Arabidopsis thaliana: one gene and its partners. The protein of the gene in region 2 purifies or fractionates together with the protein of the main gene of each other region. This does not show direct contact. Each region holds a gene or a part of one and is shown on either strand. Other genes may lie near its edges.

Evidence for each region.
Region 1: the proteins of ALDH10A9 (region 2) and SPDS2 fractionate together in Arabidopsis thaliana (co-fractionation; one large-scale study listed by BioGRID). This does not show direct contact.
Region 3: the proteins of ALDH10A9 (region 2) and SPDS1 fractionate together in Arabidopsis thaliana (co-fractionation; one large-scale study listed by BioGRID). This does not show direct contact.
Region 4: the proteins of ALDH10A9 (region 2) and ALAAT2 fractionate together in Arabidopsis thaliana (co-fractionation; one large-scale study listed by BioGRID). This does not show direct contact.

The regions. Positions count from the first base shown.
Region 1 is NC_003070.9:26,484,708-26,489,439, forward strand, and holds SPDS2 (spermidine synthase 2), read right to left. Parts: upstream 2,889-4,732; 5' UTR 2,646-2,888; coding exon 2,465-2,645; intron 2,368-2,464; coding exon 2,291-2,367; intron 2,204-2,290; coding exon 2,081-2,203; intron 1,798-2,080; coding exon 1,693-1,797; intron 1,579-1,692; coding exon 1,506-1,578; intron 1,428-1,505; coding exon 1,160-1,427; intron 1,073-1,159; coding exon 943-1,072; intron 856-942; coding exon 790-855; 3' UTR 531-789; downstream 1-530. Other genes in the region: UPL2 (ubiquitin-protein ligase 2), read right to left, coding at 4,038-4,140, 4,212-4,318, 4,424-4,563, 4,663-4,732.
Region 2 is NC_003074.8:17,785,351-17,792,059, reverse strand, and holds ALDH10A9 (aldehyde dehydrogenase 10A9), read left to right. Parts: upstream 1-2,033; 5' UTR 2,034-2,141; coding exon 2,142-2,250; intron 2,251-2,605; coding exon 2,606-2,748; intron 2,749-2,841; coding exon 2,842-2,922; intron 2,923-3,001; coding exon 3,002-3,150; intron 3,151-3,334; coding exon 3,335-3,427; intron 3,428-3,514; coding exon 3,515-3,638; intron 3,639-3,751; coding exon 3,752-3,817; intron 3,818-3,935; coding exon 3,936-4,002; intron 4,003-4,094; coding exon 4,095-4,171; intron 4,172-4,614; coding exon 4,615-4,728; intron 4,729-4,859; coding exon 4,860-4,937; intron 4,938-5,024; coding exon 5,025-5,176; intron 5,177-5,263; coding exon 5,264-5,324; intron 5,325-5,423; coding exon 5,424-5,530; intron 5,531-5,679; coding exon 5,680-5,770; 3' UTR 5,771-6,206; downstream 6,207-6,709. Other genes in the region: AT3G48180 (CDP-diacylglycerol-glycerol-3-phosphate 3-phosphatidyltransferase), read left to right, coding at 1,256-1,489; DEL1 (DP-E2F-like 1), read right to left, coding at 6,214-6,314, 6,401-6,709.
Region 3 is NC_003070.9:8,418,606-8,423,256, reverse strand, and holds SPDS1 (spermidine synthase), read right to left. Parts: upstream 2,848-4,651; coding exon 2,679-2,847; intron 2,586-2,678; coding exon 2,509-2,585; intron 2,418-2,508; coding exon 2,295-2,417; exon of another isoform or gene 1,640-2,294; coding exon 1,535-1,639; intron 1,439-1,534; coding exon 1,366-1,438; intron 1,267-1,365; coding exon 1,195-1,266; intron 1,090-1,194; coding exon 894-1,089; coding exon of another isoform or gene 890-893; intron 810-889; coding exon 686-809; intron 599-685; coding exon 533-598; downstream 1-532. Other genes in the region: AT1G23830 (uncharacterized protein), read left to right, coding at 1-254.
Region 4 is NC_003070.9:27,231,752-27,237,321, reverse strand, and holds ALAAT2 (alanine aminotransferase 2), read right to left. Parts: upstream 3,848-5,570; 5' UTR 3,686-3,847; coding exon 3,473-3,685; intron 3,210-3,472; coding exon 3,159-3,209; intron 3,056-3,158; coding exon 3,005-3,055; intron 2,888-3,004; coding exon 2,822-2,887; intron 2,744-2,821; coding exon 2,682-2,743; intron 2,593-2,681; coding exon 2,514-2,592; intron 2,424-2,513; coding exon 2,280-2,423; intron 2,225-2,279; coding exon 2,114-2,224; intron 2,044-2,113; coding exon 1,906-2,043; intron 1,833-1,905; coding exon 1,637-1,832; intron 1,558-1,636; coding exon 1,403-1,557; intron 1,318-1,402; coding exon 1,243-1,317; intron 1,159-1,242; coding exon 955-1,158; intron 868-954; coding exon 751-867; 3' UTR 533-750; downstream 1-532. Other genes in the region: AT1G72340 (NagB/RpiA/CoA transferase-like superfamily protein), read right to left, coding at 20-505; PUM23 (pumilio 23), read left to right, coding at 4,742-4,995, 5,092-5,455, 5,568-5,570.

The DNA of each region.
Region 1 (4,732 bases), on a different chromosome or scaffold from region 2:
TGTACAAGGTCTTTAACTAAAAAAAAGGAACATGTACAAGGTTATATGCTGGTTAAAGTTGCAAGTGGCAATCCAACTACTTCAAGAAGGACCTATTAAGTGGTATTATTAGGAATTGAGAGCGACAGAAAATTAAACATAATTGATGACGATCAAGTAAAATTATCATTAGATTTAAAAGTCATAAATTAGGTAATGTTTGTAATATTGTGATGTCATGATAGATGTGAACCCATACACACGTGAATAACGATGGTCAACCTCTTGTTATAATTATAACGTCAACGTCGACAATACCAGTGAACACGTATACAAGTTCTGTTGGACAAACCAACTGTTTTGGACGGCTGATGATGTAAGCCCAAAACATTTAATTTTTATTAAGGCCCATAAAACAGTTTTGCCTCTCCATTTTTTCTATTTTTGGTCCAAATCACACCTATTAAAATATTTGTTTTATTTGCCCTTATTTTTATAATTTAGAGGAAACATGTCAAAATGATAAAAAATTAGTCTACAAATTTTTGGGTTTTAAATCATATTATGTGATCACATTAAATCGAAAGTTAGTCAATTATAGATGCATAACGTTAAAAAAAGGATATGAAATATGTGTAATGCTTATAAAAAGAGATTGATAGCTCAGTGCAGTCACATAACATTGCAGGTGAAAGAACATTACATTCTAAAAATTAAAACTTCTTTATTTTTTTCCAAAGGATCATTGTATCATCATATTATCACTTCCACATGAAGTTTCTCTAAAGCAAATGATTTCTCTTCTCTTTTCTAGTTGGCTTTCGAATCAATCACCTTCTTAGCAAAAGAGGGCAAGCAGAAAGCAGCTGAGTGAATCTGCAACACAAAAAGATTCAATCACAATTCTTAACAATGATTCACACATTTCGAAAATGATTGTTACACTAACTACTTTTTATGTACCTCAGCGTTGTAATACTTCAAGGGACAGTGTGATTTGATAGAGCTTTCATCAGTATCGATTAGACTCACTGGCTTCTTGAAATCGACTTGTGGTCCTTCAGATGAACAAAGCATGAATCCAATGACTCCACTGCAAATGAATCACATACAAACTCAGACGTTTGAGATCAATGCAAACAAAAAAAGCATAAATGTTTTCAAGATCAATTTCAAAGACCTCGGGTAAGTTGGAACACTGGTCCAAGCGTAGTTAACAGATCCTTTAAAGATGTCACGGCAATTAGAAACAATGTCTTCAATGATATCCATGTGAAGCCACAAGCTTTCAGCTTGTGTGCACACAACTCCACCAGGACGAAGAGCTCTATTCACTGACTCAAAGAAAGGTTTCTCAAATAGCTCTTTTGCTGGACCGATTGGATCAGATGAATCAACAATAACTGCATCATAGGTTCCTTCAGCAGCGTTCTTCAAGAAAGCAACACCTACAAAAAAATGGCCACAACATTGTTTATAAAAACTGATCTCAAAAGAGAGAGATGAAAGCAGAGAGCATTGTGTACCATCGCCAATGATGAGGTTGACACGAGGATCCTCGTATCCAACTGCTACATTAGGGAAATACTGCTTAGCCACCTGAAGAAAGATCCCATAAGGTGGAAGAAAACATATTAAACTTAAGTAAAGGTTCATCACAATGCACTTGCAAGATGCATAATAATAAATGAAAGAAATCTGACAAGTACTCACATCAACCACCATTTTATCTATTTCACAAATGTCAATCTGCTCAACAGAACTATGACGTGCCACTTCCCTCAGGACTCCTCCATCTCCTCCTCCAATCACCAGTACCTGAAGAAGAAACATTTCCATAAGAAACCCACTTGGTTACTTTACAGTTATACCATCCAATAGCAAGAGGGAAAAGACTCAAAACACTTCAATTATAGACCTTTCTCAAACACAAACTCAAAACTAAAACTCCCTTAAAGGATCATCCTTTTGATGTATTTCTAGCTCAAACAAGTTATATGGTCATAACTGATAGACAATTCACCTTCTTTCTTGCAGTTTTCCATTTGAAAGCAAGAGACTTTGATTATCTAGAGATTAAGATTGTTGATAAAGGATTTACCTTTTTGGGGTTGGAGATAGAGCACAAAGGAAGATGAGTGATCATTTCTTGATACGCACATTCATCTCTCTCAGTGAGTTGAATCACTCCATCCAAAACCAAAACCTTTCCATATGTTGCAGACTAACAAAATACACCAAAGTTGACAACTTTATATAAAAGTGAACCAAACTTAGAGAGACAGACTAACCAAGAAACTGTCCTTATTACCTGGAAAACAATAACATCCTGGTAATCTGATTTCCCTTGGAATAGAATCTTCTCTACCTTGAGAGAATGTGCTTCTCCTACAAACTCAGATAGAGATATTCAAAATCAGCTTCACAGAGAATTAACATGAGGAATTAGACGGACCTCAATTGGGGAAAACAGAGGAATCTATACCTGGCCACATAGGACTAATCTCAGAGAACCATCCAGGAATAATAGAGGACATACAAGAAGGCTCCTTTATCTCTCCTCCACCGTTCTCTGTTTCCATGGCGCCGCCGTTATTGTCCTCCTCTGCTTCTCTAGGTCTCTTCACGGGCAAATCAGTAACAGACGCTTCTTGTGTTGAAGACATGGATTGAAGAAGAGAGACAGTGAGTAAGAGATTAGGGTTTTAGTGTCTCTCTCTCTCTGTGGCTTTGTTCTCTTGTTGACTATGATATCATATAAGAGGAGGGGCCAACAAATATCTGCCGTACGATTCGACTGTTATAAAATCATTTTCTTTTTGTTATTACGTGAATAAGGCAATTTTCATTATTTTGTGATGATGAATATCAATCATGACAGCTCTTTTTTTTTTGGTTGCTTTTTAAAGCCGATCCAATGCATTGTTTCATTTTGATAAACGTCCCAATTAAATACTTTTATCGTTTAAATTTTAACTTTAATTTTTAGATTCTGTTATTGACCCCAAAAAAAAAAAAAAAAAACTGTTTAGTGTATACGTTTTTATTTTATCTTAGAAGACTACATGTATCAACAAAAGAGTATTGAATATTTCCAAAAGTTGATTGATTATTATTAATATGAGTGTGTTTTGCGATTCTTTAAACTCGTTATGAACAAGCGCTCTCACACTTGTAGATTTTGTGTGTCAAGTGTGTCAACTTGTGAAGCACCTATTTTCGATAGATGTTAATTCACGTTTTGGTTGATGGAGGAGAAATGTTTTCTTATCATTATTGCATTATAATTTGAATTCTGTTATTGCATATAGATGTTTTTTAAGAAAATTTGAAGGTGTGTTAACTTGTGAAGCATCATTTTTTTTTTTTGATAAGAGGCAAAAGAGTATTTATGTTAGCTAATGTTTATTTTACAAACTATCAAAGCTTATACCAGCAATACTTGTTGGCTGGAGACAAATGTGGAACGTCAAGGACAAGGCGAGTAAGCAATAATGGATGAAAATGATGATGAACGTGGAGGACAAAGATCAAGACCCTGTGTGGGATTTTCGGAGAGATGCCATGCACACACTCTGATTCTTCATTTGCTGAATAGGCAGGTGGTGAAGGTAATGGAGTTTGGAGTGGAGTCTCCCATGTTTATCCTCCTCGGAACACACTTGGTATGCTCAACAACCTCTTCTAGATGTTATGAGACTTGCTTCTGGAGACAGTTGAGATATTAAGACAATGGGCTTGCAAACTTGTGATAACAAACTGGCCTTCGTATGTTGGTTGAGGAATATGCCAATACGCGTGACAGAAAGGAAGTATTCAAAATAATGACCAGCAGTTATGTAATTTTCTCATCTTATAAAAATGGATAGCAAATATCAACTACTAATATTTGAGAGTTTGCAACTATTTTTAACAAAATCTAAGGAAATAGAGAGAAAGCCTAAAAAAAAAACAATGGACTAATATACTAACATAATATATGGACAGACAAAAATAGCCACTTGCGTTTTCTATTTCTTGCTCTTAATCAAAAGCTCTTCCTTCTTCTTAAGCTTTGTTCAAGCAAACCCAAAACCTTCATTGGCTTCGTGAATTGCAAGAAGCAGGCGTTCCTGAACTTGTTCCTTAGATTGATACTCAGGGAGGTCTAGTTGGTTAAAACTGCAACAGAACCAATGAAAATTACGACCACGTTTAACTGAAAAAAAAAAGACTTTGTAATAATGTCTAACCATGTATGAGCTGATGGCAGCCGCTCCGGAGATCCATATGCTTTGTGGATTTGTAATCTTTGAGGGCCAGAAATACCTTGCAGTGCCTTGAAGCCTTCCAAGGGAACCTGAAAACAGAAACACCGCTTGTAAAACAACCAGAAGAAAAACTAGTACATATCAGAAAATGAAGCTCAAGCGACTTGGACAGAAGCTGCAAATATTGGTTTTACCTTTGATGTTCCAGTGACAAATTGAAGAAATCTAGCCATATCTTCTTTGCTGAAAGCTTTGACAACCTCCCAGAACCAACGAATAACAGGGGACCCTACCGTGTAGCTGGTATACTCGGTATTTGCTTTTAGATCATCAACTAAAAAACAAAAGAAAACAGATAACAAGATTGTTATTATAACTTTAAATGAATAAGCAAATAGATGCAAAAATATTGAAAAATAGAATGCCAACTTACAATCAATCTCAGGCAACCCGCTGATTAGGAGCTCAAGCTCTTTATCATTGAAAATTGATACAAGCTCACG
Region 2 (6,709 bases):
TTAATAGGCCATAAGGTTTCATTTTGGGTTCCGATTTAAGAGAATCAGATTTTGAAAAAAAAGGTTAGGTATTGACTATGAAGTTAGCATTTTTGAGGTTTGGACGATTAAAATGACTGGTTATCGATCATATGTGTATATAATAGTACCTTAAAAGAGTGACTAGAAAAGTTGTTCTAGACAATAGTACCTTTTAAAAGAGTGACTAAAAGTTGTTAAATGTCAATACCAGTTAATTTGACCTGTCTCGCCAAATAATTAACTAACAAAAATCTAAAACTTTAACAGTGAAATCTTTTCATATTGCACAAGCAGTCAAGCGCATGAAATGTCGTCGCATAACTATTAAATATACCATGTACTTTACATTAACCTACTTATTTTTACTCGATATATCTACCTAATTATGTTTATAAACTATATATACAGTCTATACTTAAGAAACTTTTTACGGTGATCTATCTTTTACCTTTTAATTTTTATTACTTGAATAACAATAATCTAGATGTAACATGTGTTCGCTTTTAATTTTTTGTAATTGAATAGATTTAGCTTCGTTAAACACATATTGATTGATGAATGCTTGAAATTATTGTTCTACAAAAATACTCCAACAAGATTTTGAACCAAACTAGAGATCAGGCTTGCATGATTAACAAAACTATCCATTGATGTAATTATAAACTATCAAAATGAACGGGGTCAAATATGTGACAAAGTCATAATTATTGACCCAATATGGGCTTTTTGATAAGGCCCACAGACAGTTTTTACCCAAGTTCCTAAGAAGAAAGTTGGGTTTTTGCTAATCAGGAAACAAATTCGTAGAAGAAATATTACTGCATTTGGAGAAGAAGTCAAAATTAAAGAGGAATAGACTCACAAAGTCAAAAGATCAAAAGATAAGCACAAGATTTGTATTAATTAAATACCTAATGTATCAAAAACGACTATTTCGTAGTGAGAATTAGGAAAAATAATGACACACAAACACGCAATCCAGAATAAACATAACACAAATATCTACCTAATCTATTTTATCATTAATTTACCACCACACCATTTTATGAACGTAGTCAAATAATCAAAATAATACCTTTTATTTTGTATAAATTAATTAAATAATACATAATCTACTCTAATCTACCCCACCAAACCCTATAATAAGTTGCGTGACTTTCTTATATTAATCACGATTTGATTGAATTAATACATTTTTTCTCACCTAATCAAATCTTTCTCGTTCTCATACAATATGGAGAGAAACTCTTGGGCCGAGCAGTGGGACAGCAATCAACAATCGTCGGGAAAAACAACTCACGGCGGAGAAGGTGGTGGTGCATCGTCTAAATACAAAGAGAAAGTGGGGGCTGGATTAGGGAAGACGAAAGCGGCGGCGAGTTCGGGGTTAAAGAAGGTGAAGATAGGAACATCGTTGGGTCTTAATTGGGTTAAAGACAAGTACAACAAGACCACCACTAAGAATTGACTCATCATATCTTTGTTTTTTTGGATTTACATATTCGTCTTCTTCTTCTTTTTGTAAACGATAAAAATCTGTTTTGATTCTTGCTATATTCATAATGATCGGAGATATTAAAGACTTTTGAAAAAGATGATTTGGCTTGGTTTGATCTTTTTATTGTTCCGTGGAAATGGGGTGAATCGTTTGGTTTGTGAATAATTTTACTAATCATTTTATATAGTTCGAATCAAAAGTTGAAAAACTCAAAAAAAAGAATCTGGATAGTTTGATCTTGTGCGGAATATTAAACTGTGATGAAGAATTGGAATCGAGTCTAGATTCTTGATGACTCTTTAAGTTTAAAACCGGTTTAGCTAAAAATCTGCAATTTTGTTGAATGTCCCTTTTGATTAAACAATTTTTACAAGAAAGAAAAAAAAGACAGCCTCGTATAGGATGTATATAAAAAAATGATGTAAAAATGGTTAGAAATCCAAATAAATGTAAATATCCATGAATTAAATCAATCTTATTTTTTAAAAGGTAAAAAACTATTTTATATGAGCAGCTATCAGAAAAATGGGTCAGATATCATTCTTAGAACCAAAACGGAAAGTCCCAACGATCCCATTTTACTCCTTTTCACCACCTCTAGTAGCAGAGAGAGAGAGAGAGTATGGCGATTACGGTGCCGAGACGGCAACTCTTCATCGGCGGTCAATGGACTGAGCCCGTTCTCCGTAAAACTCTCCCTGTTGTCAATCCCGCCACCGAAGACATCATCGGTACTTTTTATTTTTTCCAATCATATCTTGTGTTACTCACTTTTTGAACTTGATCACTCGATTTTCGCGAGTTTCGATTCAATCTATCGTTATCGGAACTACGCATTTCCCGATTTGCTGTATACTTAGTTCGCGAATTGAAAGAGCTTTGAACTTTTGTCTGTTTGAGACGATCGTCATTTCTTCTGTGATTATTGTCTATGAACGGGAGCGGAAGTTGTTTTTGCGTTAGATCTGTGGGATTATATAGGAGGAGAATAGATAGATATGTAGTTGAATGATTGGATTGGATCTCTTCTCCTGCTGATGGAGTTCTTTGTAGTGTTTTTTAAACTGGGATTGGTGGTGGTTTTAGGTTATATTCCAGCTGCAACTTCTGAAGATGTGGAGCTTGCTGTGGAAGCTGCTAGGAAAGCATTTACTAGGAACAACGGAAAGGATTGGGCTAGAGCAACTGGTGCTGTTCGTGCCAAATACTTGCGCGCTATTGCAGCTAAGGTAACAACAATGAGTTAATCAAATCTATGTTCCTCTCATGTTTCATTCTCTGTTAGCTGTTTTGCCTGGCAATAACATAATGGAAATATCCAGGTAATAGAGAGGAAGTCTGAACTAGCTAATCTTGAGGCTATTGATTGCGGTAAACCTCTAGATGAAGCAGCATGGGACATGGTATTCTCAATTTGCTTTTGTGAACATTTGGCAGTTTTGTGATTCATATGTCACATGTGGTTGCTTGTAACCTTTGCAGGATGATGTTGCTGGATGTTTTGAATATTATGCTGACCTAGCTGAAGGCTTGGATGCAAAGCAGAAGACTCCTCTTTCTCTTCCGATGGATACTTTTAAGGGTTATATTCTCAAGGAACCCATTGGCGTAGTTGGCATGATTACTCCATGGTACTATATTTCATTGACAGATTTGAATCTAACCGATCCCTCAGATCGTTGTGTATTATCCTTTGTCAAGTTCGCGGATTTAAATTTTACATATTCAGATCACATTGGTCTTCAAGTGTTCTATCTTCCTTTTTAGACAAACCGTATGTTATTAGGCAGCTAATAATCTATATTTGCATTCAAGGAACTATCCGTTATTGATGGCTGTCTGGAAAGTCGCTCCTTCACTTGCTGCTGGGTGCACGGCTATACTGAAACCTTCAGAGTTGGCCTCCCTGTGAGTTTTTGATTTCTGTTGACATCATAGCTAGCCACTTCAACTATTAGTTCATTAACTCGCCAATCTGATGCTGTTTTATTCCAGGACATGTTTGGAGCTCGCTGATATTTGCCGCGAGGTGGGTCTACCACCTGGTGTTCTTAATATTCTGACTGGTTTAGGAACTGAAGCAGGTGCTCCACTGGCATCGCATCCACATGTTGACAAGGTCTGATCACTTGTATACCACTACCAGTGTCCTGAAAGTCAAACACTTATAGATAGAGCACTTATTTCCTTTTTATGGGTTAGTTGAAGTATTGATATTTTAGCCTTTACCAGATTGTATTCACTGGAAGCACAACAACTGGAAGCAGCATTATGACTTCCGCTGCCAAATTGGTGAAAGTAAGTCTAAGTGTCCTTGTTACTCTCCTTTGGAACTAGTAGTTATCTTGGCTTGTTTATTCGACCTATGATTTTTCGGGGTCTGTACATGAATCTTGTTTTATGTTTCATTCCACAGCCAGTTTCCTTGGAGCTTGGGGGTAAAAGCCCTATCATTGTCTTTGATGATGTCGATATTGATAAAGGTGGGTACTTTTGGAACCTTAAGAAAACTATGCTATATATTTGTATTCTAAAATGCTGGTTTAATTTGTGACTAATATTTTGCTCTAAACAGCTGTGGAATGGACTATGTTTGGTTGTTTCTGGACGAATGGGCAGATTTGTAGTGCCACATCTCGACTTCTTGTGCATGTAAGTGAGCCTATAATCTACAGTACCTCTGATTTTAAATTCTGCACCGAACTGTTCATGATATGTGTTATCCGTTAACACATATAAAACAAGTTATGTGTTATCCGTTAACACATATAAAACAAGTTATGTGTTATCCGTTAACACAATTATATGTTGTAAAATTAAAGGTTACCTTTGGAAATTAAGTTATAATTATGTAGGCTACTCTAGTCATAAAACAAGTAGAATATATAACTTATCTTTTACATGAAACCACCGATGCAAAGGTACAGAGTTTCAGTATATGTTTATCTGTAAGACTGGTCATCAGCAATTCGGATAGATTGATAAGTATCAGTTGTCGTAGGACCTTGGGAACCCTTGATAAAAGTAGGATAGCGAAGCTTTACTATACTTCTTGTGTACTGTTGTTTTCATGAAAGAATCTGGTGAAATGTCAGGAAAGGATTGCTGACGAGTTTTTGGACAAGCTGGTAAAGTGGACCAAGAACATTAAGATTTCAGATCCTTTTGAAGAAGGCTGTAGGCTTGGTCCTGTTGTCAGTAAAGGACAGGTTAAATTGCTAAACAGAATTGACATTCTCAAGAATAAACACCTCAATCCTCCAAAACCCTCTTATCTATCAATTTGGGTTAATGACGAAAGATTTCTAGTCAAGTCTTACATATTTATCCTCCTGTGCAGTACGAGAGAGTTCTAAAGTTTGTCTCAAACGCTAGGAATGAAGGTGCAACTGTTCTTTGTGGAGGAGTTCGTCCTGAGGTACATTATATTGACTAATCTTCTATGTATGTGCCAAATACTATCTAGAGCCCGTAGCACTTACAATATTTTATTTATGTTCTGCAGCATTTAAAGAAGGGATACTTTGTTGAACCTGCGATTGTTTCAAATGTGACTACTTCAATGGAAATCTGGAGAGAGGAAGTCTTTGGTCCTGCTCTGTGTGTGAAAACATTCTCCACCGAGGATGAGGCAATTCAGCTTGCAAATGACTCTCAGTGAGTGTAGATTTCTCTTCTTATCTTGAAGTAGAACTCCACTGATGACGTGTTAGATCATATGCCTGACTTTATTTGTATTTGCAGATATGGATTAGCAGGCGCAGTATTATCAAATGATCTGGAGCGGTGTGATCGTGTTAGTAAGGTGTGTATCTAACTTTTACTATCAACAATAACAATCAATAACCTCATGATTGAACTTAATCTCTAAAGTTTTATGAATCGTAATCATTGTGTGTTTCAGGCTTTCCAGGCGGGAATAGTGTGGGTCAACTGCTCTCAGCCATGCTTCTGCCAAGCTCCATGGGGTGGAACCAAACGCAGTGGATTTGGCCGTGAATTGGGAGAATGGTTAGTCTCTTTCGTTAGCTATAAGTATTAAGATTATCAAACCATTAGAAAAAGACACTCTCCAACTAGATGGAATTGTGTCCATAGTAACTTAAACCGTAATAGATTACCAACAAAATTTGAATTGAAACATATTTTCTTCGTCGCAGGGGACTTGAGAACTACTTGAGTGTGAAGCAGGTGACTCAGTATATCTCTGATGAACCATGGGGATGGTACAAACCTCCTTCCAAGCTCTGAGACAAACACTAGTTCCTGATATTTCCTTAAAACATGTACTCATGAGAATATACCAATAAAGCAAGAGACCCTTCTGTAAGAGAAATGGTATTGCTACTTTAAATTCTTGAAAAAAATGAAAAATAAGATGAGATGATATTTCTTTTTGTTTTTCTCAAAACAACATGCCATACAAAAGTAGCAAAAAACTGGCGAAAGATGAATGCTCTTATATGTAACATACAAAAGTTACAGCCTACAGTAAACTTCAGAAAGCAAAGAGGGTATGCGATCTGTGAATTAATGTCGGATTCTTGCAGTTACAATTGTGTGGAGAAACTAAACCACATTGATCAAAAGAAATGACTCTTGAAGCTCTCTACACGAATGATGATTGATGTTCACAGGTAAGAGAAGAAGAAGAAGAAGAAGAAGAAGAAGAAGAAGAAGAAGAAAAAGAAGATCTAACGGTGTTGTGATGTATTAGGTAATGGATTCTCCTGGGTGACTTCGCTGAACCATGTCTTCCAAGCATCCATGTAATGGGAAAAGAGGTCTTTCAAAACTGAAATTTGTTCAGAAACAGAGTTAATTTCATAGCAATATTTTGACAAGTTTGATATCAAATGGATGTGAATAAAATATATGCACCTTGGTTTTGGTAAGAGGGACGGTAATCAGAATCCAGATTCTCAACATCAAAAGCTCTCCTAGAGTTATCCTCTAAACCAGCAGTTGGATATGTACCAGTGCCTGGTGCAAAAGGTCCAAAATGGTAACCTCCTCTTGATCCATGTCTTGATTCATGAACATCAAAGCTTTTGTTATAAGAACTCTCTGGTGTTGAGTGCTTTTTCATCTTTAGCCTTCTCTCTGTAGCGTTTTCTTGGGACGAAGATGATGATTTGCTTCTCTTAACATTGACGTTTGTAATATCAGTTCCGAAAGCTCTTTTTCTTG
Region 3 (4,651 bases), on a different chromosome or scaffold from region 2:
AAGGACATGAGAAGCGTGACCTCTGGTTGATGTTAATGTTCTTGGTCTTCGGTCTTGCGACAAGGATGCCATGTTTATACTCCAAATGCAGTGCGAGTGGAAATGGAGTGATGTACACTGGCTTCTATGTAGGCTTGATTTGTGTTGGCAATTTACTTAAATGGGTGACTTGTCTTGCCTGTTACCATGATTGTAAAACTATGGTTTTGAGAAAAAAGCGTGATGTAGAACAAGCTAAAACTCCTGCTGCTTAAGAGACTTTGGCTGAGATCAATTCAAAGTGTGAATCTTTATAATAAATGGTATAAAAGCAGAAAGGTTATTAGACTTCTCAGCTTCAACGCAAAAGCATAAGAACATGTTGTAAATAGGATTTGCTACTATGCGAATGTGTAATGCTAAAAGAAGACATAGTCGCTCTTGCATTGTGTTACAGAAACATGAGTGAAACAACAGAACATTCTAAAAACTGTAAAAAGCTTTTATTTTTTGATAAATTCAACGATCCTCCAGATTAGTTTTCTTTCCCTTTTCAATTGGCTTTTGACTCAATGACCTTCTTGGCGAAAGAAGGCAAGCAGAATGCAGCTGAATGAATCTGAAACCCCCAAGAAATGAGAGCATAAGCTAATGATTCGAGTGTGTAGACCGCATGAAATGGTATACTGAGAGATTTTTATCTTACCTCGGCATTGTAAAACTTCAAAGGTCCATTTGATTTGCTGGAGCTCTCGTCAATTGGGTTCAGTGGGTGTTTGAAGTCAACATCAGGTCCTTCAGTTGAACAAAGCATAAATCCAATGACCCCACTGAAAATAAGAAAAGTGTGATTCAGGTTAAGTTATAATCACCCAAAAAGGAGAGAGATTGATGTTAAAGGTCATTAAACATGCCTGGGGTATGTTGGAACGCTGGTCCAAGCATAGTTCACAGAACCCTTGAAGATCTCACGGCAGTTGGAAACAATGTCTTCGATGATGTCCATGTGAAGCCACAAGCTTTCAGCTTGAGTGCACACAACTCCACCAGGACGAAGAGCTCTAGCCACAGATTGGAAGAAGGGTTTCTCAAACAGCTCCTTTGCAGGACCTGACAGACAATAAGTAAAGGCTGCTTTTTAGTATTGTTCAACATAACAGTAAGGAATAATGTTGTTTCTGATGACATCTGATGACATCTGATTGTAGTAGTTACCGATTGGATCTGAAGAGTCAACAATAACTGCATCGTATGATCCTTCAGCAGCATTCTTCAAGAAAGCAACACCTGCAACGATTCACCAACCGATCAGTTTGAAACGGCAAAATGTGTTCAACATAACTACATAATGTTTCAGAAAGAGAGAAAAAAGCGGCAGTATTGTACCATCGCCAATGACAAGGTTCACGCGAGGATCCTCATATCCAATTGCTACATCAGGGAAAAATTGCTTAGACACCTGAAAATTACCAGTAGGTGGAAACAAATTAGATAACAAGGTATTTATCTATCGAAATAGAGAAGAAGGAAAGGTGAAAAGTAAGTGACCACTCACGTCGACCACCATTTTATCAATTTCACACATGTCAATCTGCTCAATAGAAGCATGGCGTGCAACTTCCCGCAGGACACCTCCATCTCCTCCTCCAATGACCAAAACCTATGGAAGAACTAGAAAGGCATTGATCAGATACACTCTGGCTTATAGCTTTACTAGCTAAAAGCAAAAACAGCATTTTTAGCTGACCCACTTTACCATAACCCAAAATAGTTAGACTACCCAATTCTGATACTTGGGAGCAAAAGCAATTCTGAATGTAAGAAGCTTGATTATCTAACCTTTTCTGAACCAAGTCCCCCAATAACAAGCTAAAGACTAATCATTTAAGCCCATTGAAATAAGTTTCTTCCGAATCATTATTATAACCCAATAAAGTTACTTGAGTTCTCTAACTTTGCCAGAAGGGAACATGGGACTATGTACCTTTTTTTCTCAGGAGGCCATCAAAGTTTGTACATATAAAAAGCAAAAAATGGTGATCATGAACCTTTTCTCTAGTGGACATTCCTATCACCACCCTGGAATGTAATCATTAATGCCAACTCAAGTAGTTTCTATATACACATCTAATAAAAGGAACTCTGGTTTCTCTATTTCTCCATAACTAATGATTTCATCATCCTACTTTACCGGAGAAGAAAAATGCAAACTTCAAGAAAGACCTTTCATTACATTCCAAAGCTATAAACTTTTGATTACCCACAACACAACACAATCAAGGTCACAGAATCTAGCAAAAGGATTGATTGTATACCTTCTTAGGGTTAGGGATAGAACACAAAGGAAGATGAGTGATCATTTCCTGATAAGCACATTCATCTCTCTCCGTAAGTTGGATTACTCCATCCAAAACCAAAACTTTTCCATATGTTGCAGACTAACCAACACATAAAAAACAAGTCTTTATAAGTATAATCACAGACAAATAAGTTAGGAAAAAACAGAGAAATGATTCTTATTTTTGTTACCTGGAAAACAATAACATCCTGATAATCTGATTTCCCTTGAAACAAAACTTTCTCAACCTTCAATGAGTGTGCCTCTCCTGCATCATCAAACCAATGAAAAAAAAAATCAGCTTTTTAATTTAAGAACCCAGAATTTGTTTTTTGAGAGAGAGAGAGGAAGGAAACAAGACCTGGCCACATAGGACTCATTTCAGAGAACCACCCAGGAATAACAGTGGAGAAACAAGCAGGTTCCTTTTTCTGATCTCCGTTCTCCGTCTCCATGGTAGCGGCGCCGCCGTTATCATCCTCTTCTCTCGGTCTTTTCAAATCGGTGGCAGAGGTTTCTTTAGCGTCCATGGTTATTGCTCTGGTGAATATCTCCGAGAAATGAGAGAGAGGAGGAACTAGGGTTTGTGAGAGGTGGTGATTTTGGTGTGAAGTGAAGCGGAAGATATAAGGAAGAGAAGAGCGTACAACTGAAAATATCATTTCATTTTTTTATTCACTTTTTTTTCAACGTAGCGAAATTATTATGTGATGATAATTCTACTTTTGCCTCGAATATATCGTTTCTTTAACTTTTGGGTCCTTTTTAATGGTTTTTTAAAGAGAAACTTTTTGGCTTTTTATGTCTGGTTTTTTATTCGTGTCTTTAATGCTCACTCGCTTTTTAGCACACGCGCTTTCTCACGTGCAAAATTCTCATACTGTACCACCACCAAACATGGACGGACTAGACTAGAGAATGTTATTTCCATGTTCTCTCAATTGGTTTAGTTACCAATTCCAAACTCTATAATCTATTTTTGTTTTAACTTTATTTGTTGTAAGTAATCTTGTGTAAATTAGTTTTTAACAATATGAAACTTTGTACAGTGATAATAAGATTTGGTACAGCTCCTAGTAGAGGAAGCAATTGGTTCATATGTAGTATTAGCTAAATCTTGGCTCTTGTGGGTTCAAAGCTCAATCAAAGCACATAGGTGCTTATGTTTTGTCAGTCTACAAGGAACTTCTTTTGTTATCATCAGATGCAGCCCGTTGCTCAATATTGGGATGTAGGACTCTCTGAGTCTCAGCTGGAAAGGAAGGCATTTAAACGAAGAAGCAGATTCTCGTGATCTTTGATGAGTTCCTTCGTTCTAGAAATGTCACTAGCGACATACACTCTACAAAAAGAGACCTTAGTAACATCAGGATCAGTTCACGTAGTGTGTTTGTTCTGTGGATTGGTACTTATGAAATGATGAGCATGCCAAACATAACAAGAGAGAAAACAACTCATATCTATATATGGACGCGAACGTCAGTAAAGAGCTTTAAAAACACGTCATACTTGGCAGGTTCATCATGAAATGCTTCCTTCACAGCATTGATGTATGTAACCGCATCCGCATCATCGATAGTAGAATCCGGTGTTTGTATGTAAAGAGCTTTATTATCGATTTGTGTTTGTATTGAGCAGATAATTAGTAAAATCTTAGCATTAGCTTTTACACTGCAGTCTTCTGGTTTTTTTAGTTGCAAAAGTATATAATTGGTAAAATCTGTGAAAATGAAATTTAAAAGCTTTCTATAAATTAAAGACATATGATGAGAAAGTTTTATGATTAGAATGCAGATATTTGTATTAATTTAGTCCAAATCTTGTTTTAAAAAATATACAAAACATATTTAAATTAGAGATATAAATATTGAATTTAATTTTTTTCTATAAAATCTTATTATCAATTTCGTAATTCATATAAGGTTTACTTAAATTAGAAAATATATTTGTTATTAGAATTACTTGACTTTGTTTGTTTTGCTCTGTATTTTTTGGCCAGGCGTAAGTTTGGGCTCTCTTCCTCTCTGTTTTTGTTTCTAGCTGAACTCTGTTTTTTTAGTGTTTCCCCTCTCAGTTTCTTATGCAAACACGACCCAAAAAATATCTACACGGCCCAAATCTCATGTCTTCTTGGTAACGAGGAAATATTTATTTAGTGAAAAAACATTTGATATCAAAGAAACCTCAACAAAAGAAACTATACACTCTCTTTTAGTCTCTTATACGCCAATTCATTGTACAATATACCTCAACATAGAAGCATAGCATATTTGTGAATGTCATGTTAATCAAACCAAACTCAAATGTTTGCAAAAGAAAACTAAAATCACTCTC
Region 4 (5,570 bases), on a different chromosome or scaffold from region 2:
GTGAAAAATGAATTCTCACCTTGAGTGTATCAGAAGCCTTTTTGAGCTCAATTTCAAGCTCCATCATGGTGCTCGCTTCGCTCGCACGAATAACAGCAGCCAAAGCTCGTATAGCCGCGACGGCTTCAGCCAGATCCGGTTGTTTTCTCCAGTTATTGAACTCTTCAATTACATTAAACGACTTCTCGTTCCCGAGATCAGTTACGGATAAGTCATGCTGGGCATCGCCTGAGACGCCGCCAACGGCGGCTTGAGCTTGGGCTAGCCAGTCGCTTGTAATGACACCGTGATGCGCCGCGCGAGTTTGGTAATAAGCGGAGATGGAATCAGGGTTTTGAAAAGGACCTCGTGTTGTATCCGCCATTGGAGGTGAATTCGAGCTTCGTCGCTCGTCGAGAATAAACGACGGTGATCTTCTCCACATTGATTTTTTTTTTTCTTGAGAAAATTCTTCAAAATGGAAAAATTGAAGATAATATACTGTCGCTTTCTCCAGAAATATCATATGAAAAATAAATATAAGGCCCATTAATAATATAAGGCCCATTTATAAGCCCAATAAATTTACTAATTTTCATATCTTCATATGACATGCCATGGAATGGAAGTACAAAATATTCTAAAATTAAATTAGCTGATCACAATTGCCTGATCAAATTCAAAACACAAGTTTTCTTTTTTTTAATAACTCAAACTGATCACACTTTTCTTCAAAAGGGTCTTTAAGTTCATCTTCATGGTCAGGTCCTTTTAGTTGCGGAACTCGTCCATGAAGCTCTTGTGGAACTCTGTCAGACGATTCACTATCGCTGGAATCTTGTCTTCTTGTGGAAGTATTGTGCATCTAAAGTGCCATGTTCCAGGAACCTAAACCACAATGAATCCAAAACCCATTATTCAAGTTCGATCCTTTTGTAAGACATTTAAAGTTATGAAGATTTGGTTATATTTTACCTGTCCAAAGCCAGAACCAGGGACTACAACTACACCAGTAGCATTGAGAAGGCGTTTGCAGTAGAACGCATCTGGTGCAGTTTTTTCAGCCTCAGCAGCTTCGATAGCCTTTTGAGGAAGGTTAATTCGCGGGAAGAGATACATTGCTCCTTCGGCTCTGTTACATGTAACACCTTCTAAACTGTTGAGAGCGTCTTCCAAAGTCTGCAAGTTCATTTTCAAGCTTGTGACATTATATACAAAGAGACTGAAAAATGTCGTTAGAGGGTATTGTAATCTTCGACTAACCTTTGCACGTTTAGCCATGGATGAGAGAATTCCATCTCTTTCTGCCATGTATGAGTCATATGAGTCATCACCAGGCTGATCAAATACAATATTAGACTTTTTAGTCATAATCTGTTGCAAGAACTTAGCGAAAACCGATTAGAGAGAACTAGGGTGTTACCTTGGGTGGGCTCATGACAAGGCTAGCAAGAATTTGACCAGAGATGTTAGAACAAAGATTCACAGAAGCCATTTTGTATATCTGTTCTCTTACATCAGAAGTGAATCCAGTAACCTCCATGTAACCTCCTCTTTTTCCACATTCTCCATAATATCCTATCAACAGAAGAATATTAAAAACAAAAACCCCATTTTTTAGATGACAAGCATTGGACAGTAAAAGTTGTTCTTTTACCTTTGGAGACTGATTGGAACGAGACTAACGAGATATCTTTTTCTCCATAGCCCAAAGACCGAGCCACTTTCTTGAAAGAATGGAACTTTTTGTCAGGGACGTAAACATTTTCTTGGTAGACTTCATCAGCTAAAAGAACCAAACCCTCTTGCTTGCAGAAATTAACAATGTCACGCTGGTTTTCTTCCGCAAGAACCTAACCAGAATAAGAACGCAAGATTAGAAGAATGTTACATTTTGTTAGGCTAGTCTTGAAAATCTGTTTGTACCTGCCCAGTTGGGTTACCGGGGTTTATGACAACCAAGGCCCTTACAGAGATGCCCTTGGACCTAGCTTCCTCTAGTTGCTTCTTAAGGTCAGATATTTCCAGTCCCCATCCTGTTGCTTCATCAAGATAGTACGGAACCTAAGAAGTACAAATTTCAAAAACTTGTACCAAAAAACAACATTACTCCATGATGATTATATGAACATACCAAAGATCCACCATGAAGGGCAATTGAAGCCGAGTACAATGGATACTGAGGAATCGGGGAAAGAATACCATCTTTCTCTGAGCTCAAGAGAAGTTGCATCATCATGTGAACCTATAGAGTAAAAAACACCAAAAACACTTAGCATGAATCCTTTAAAAGAACTTACTCTAACTCTATGAGATAACGTTTTCGTTTTGATTGTTACCGCTGGACTTGCACCATCAGTCAAGAAAATATCATTTGGATCAGCAGGGAAACCATCACGTGCTTCGATTCCAGCTGCAATTACATCACGTAAACCCTTGATACCCTGAGGCAGAACAAAAAATGAAACATTCAGCAACATAAGAACCATCTCAAGAAAGGGTTTAGGACTTTTAACTAGACTCTAATAACAAACCTGGCTATGACTGTAAGCCCCAGTTGCTCTTCCGGGAATATGGTCCAAAATCCTCCATGCTCGGTCAATTGAATCGGTACTGATAGCAGAGTAGAAATCAAATGTTAAGCAATCTTAAACCGTGAGCATACATGTCCTAAAGCTGAAATATAGCAAGGAAAACCTCACCTGAACAAACCATGGGTTTCAGACTCATCCAAAAGACTTGCGTGGTCACACAATGCGAGAACCTGAGGCATATAGATGATAGACGTTATATCTCTGTGGCTGATATGACAACCAAACTAGTACCAAAAACATTCACTTACCTCACGGAAGAACTTTATAGGCAGCTGACCAAGAGATTGAGGATTCCCAATGTTGCAATAGATTATCTGCCAAAAGTAATGAAGAATTCTAAGTTCCTTGCACAAAGAGTTTGAGAACAGGTAACATCAACACTAAACTAATCATAAATCCGTCAAAACTGCCGATAAAGAAAGAGATTTTACCTCATCAAAGGGATAAGCATCCTTATTAGTCTTCAAGTCTTCTTGTAACTTCTGTAAGATGGAAGCAAAAAGCAAACAAAAATCAATTAGCATTAAAAACAATTTTACAGATTTTGTTCTTGGTTTTACAAGACAAAGCACATGCATCTCTGACCTGAGCAATGTTGACAATTTCTCCTCGAACAGCATACTCACATTTCAGAACCTGTTCCCCGGAAAAGAAAAAAAACTCTTAGTTAACAATAAAACCAACTTCTCTGTAATATAAAGTACAAAGAAGTTATGCAAAGCTTGTCGATTTCATCGTTGGGAATCACAACGAGAAGCAAAGGATAAACCTTTGGCGTTAAATCAGACAACCACAGTAAAAAATTGAAACTTTTTTACTAAATTAGAAACAAATCCAGATCAACCCTGAAACCCACAATTCAAAAACGCAATAAACCAGCTAGAGAATTAGAAACCGACCTTGGGATTGATGGAGTCAAGAGTAACGGGAAGAGAAGAAGTGGAATCAGAAGCAGACATCTCCGAAGTAGAAGAGAAGAAACGAGACAGAGCAGGAGGAGAAGAAGCAAGGGGACGAGGTTGAGGAGAGAGAAAGCTTGGACTTTTGTGGTGATGTTGACGACGAGAATGGTCGACGAGACCTTTAGCTTGGTTAATCAAGAATCTCCGCATCTGTGAATCAGCTTTATACTAGGAACGTGCTCTTTAAGCCCTAGGATTGAAAATTCTCTCACGAGGAAACAAGGGTCCCAATATCCAGTGCCTTGCACACCGAATTTTGCCTTGTCCTCCACGCTCAGAAATTGCTTTTTCGTTTTTTCTTTTCGAAAATCTAATTGATGAAGATATTTGTAGGGGTTTTTTTTAGGCGGCTAATTTTGTTGATTTATCTGTTAAACACACGACTAATCCCAAAAAAAGACATGTCTTTTATCAAAAAAAGATGTCTGAAGTCTATCTTCCGTTGACTTAATTATCCAAAAGGACCAAAATTGAATAATCCAATCACAGTCGTAATCTAATTTGGGGATAAATAGATACTTATAAAACCTACAGCTAATTTGAAAGTTATAAATTTTTAGAAATCTCTAAATTTAAATAAATCACAACAACATGTAGCAGCACATTGCTAACGATGAGGTTTTTTTTGGGCTACATAATTGGGCCCTAAAAAGGTCGGTAAAATCGTGATTTAAAGCCCATTATTTGTTTATATCCACGTCAACAAAACGATATCGTATTAGGTTGGACGAGAATAAAACCCTAGGAATTAGAAAATTTGTACAACGTCAAAACATCGAAGATTTTGATCCAACGTATACCAAGAGTTTCGGAGACGACGTCGTTTTGTCTCTGCGCCGCGTTCTTAGTCTGAGCTCACGCTTGTTCGTTTCTCCTCTAACGTCAACTGTGTTTTTGCATCCTCAAAGGTTTGTGATACACCTTATTGTTTCTGTTCTTTTGTACAAGCTTCACATGGATTAGTGTAAAGTCTTAGAATTGGGACTCGGAATTTATTGTTATGTTTTAGGTTATTCAACCCAGTTATGGTATCGTTTTGAAGTAGAGGTAGAAACCCTAATTTTTGGGGTCTGTAAATTTGGAGAAAAAATTGAACCTTTCCCTTTTTTGTTATATTGTGTAATTTGGGACTAATAGTTCTTCGAAGCTGAGTTTTTTTGTGTGTAAATTTTGTAGGGTTTAACATAGTTGGGGCTAGGAATTTTCATGGTTTCTGTTGGTTCTAAATCATTGCCATCTAGGAGGCACAGGACCATTGAGGAAGATAGCTTGATGGGTGAACGAGGAAAGTCTAGTAACAATCACAGTGAAAGGAATAAGGGAATGCGTAGGAAGGACCATAAGGGTAACCGTGGATTTGATGTAGATAGCAGCAAGAAGAACCAATCCGGTGGTGCCCCCAATGTAAAGCCAGCATCAAAGAAACACTCCGAATTCGAACATCAGAATCAATTTGTCAGGTAAAGGAGATTTTTAACCAAGGGCCTTTGCTCTAATTTATAGTCGAAATTTTGTTGTTGTGAGAAGTGGTAGTGATTTGGGTGTATCTTTTTCAGGAAAGAGATTGATCCAGAGACTTCAAAGTATTTCTCTGAGATTGCCAATCTCTTTGATAGTAATGAAGTTGAATTAGAGGAACGTTCAGTAATATGTGGAAATGCCCTTGAAGAAACAAGAGGGAGGGAGTATGAAATTGCTACAGACTATATCATAAGTCATGTCTTGCAAACTCTACTTGAGGGATGTGAACTTGACCAACTCTGCAGTTTCATACGAAATTCTGCTAGTGTGTTCCCAGCCATTGCAATGGATAGATCTGGTTCTCATGTCGCAGAGTCTGCTCTCAAATCCTTGGCCACACATCTAGAAAATCCAGACGCCTATTCTGTTATTGAGGAGGCTTTGCATTCTATATGCAAGGTACTTTATACAATTTTTACTGGCTTTGACAATCATATTAAGGTATCCAGATTATTGCTTCTAGTCTAGTAATTGACCTCAATTTTGATGGTGAAATATTTCCCCTGGTCAGGTG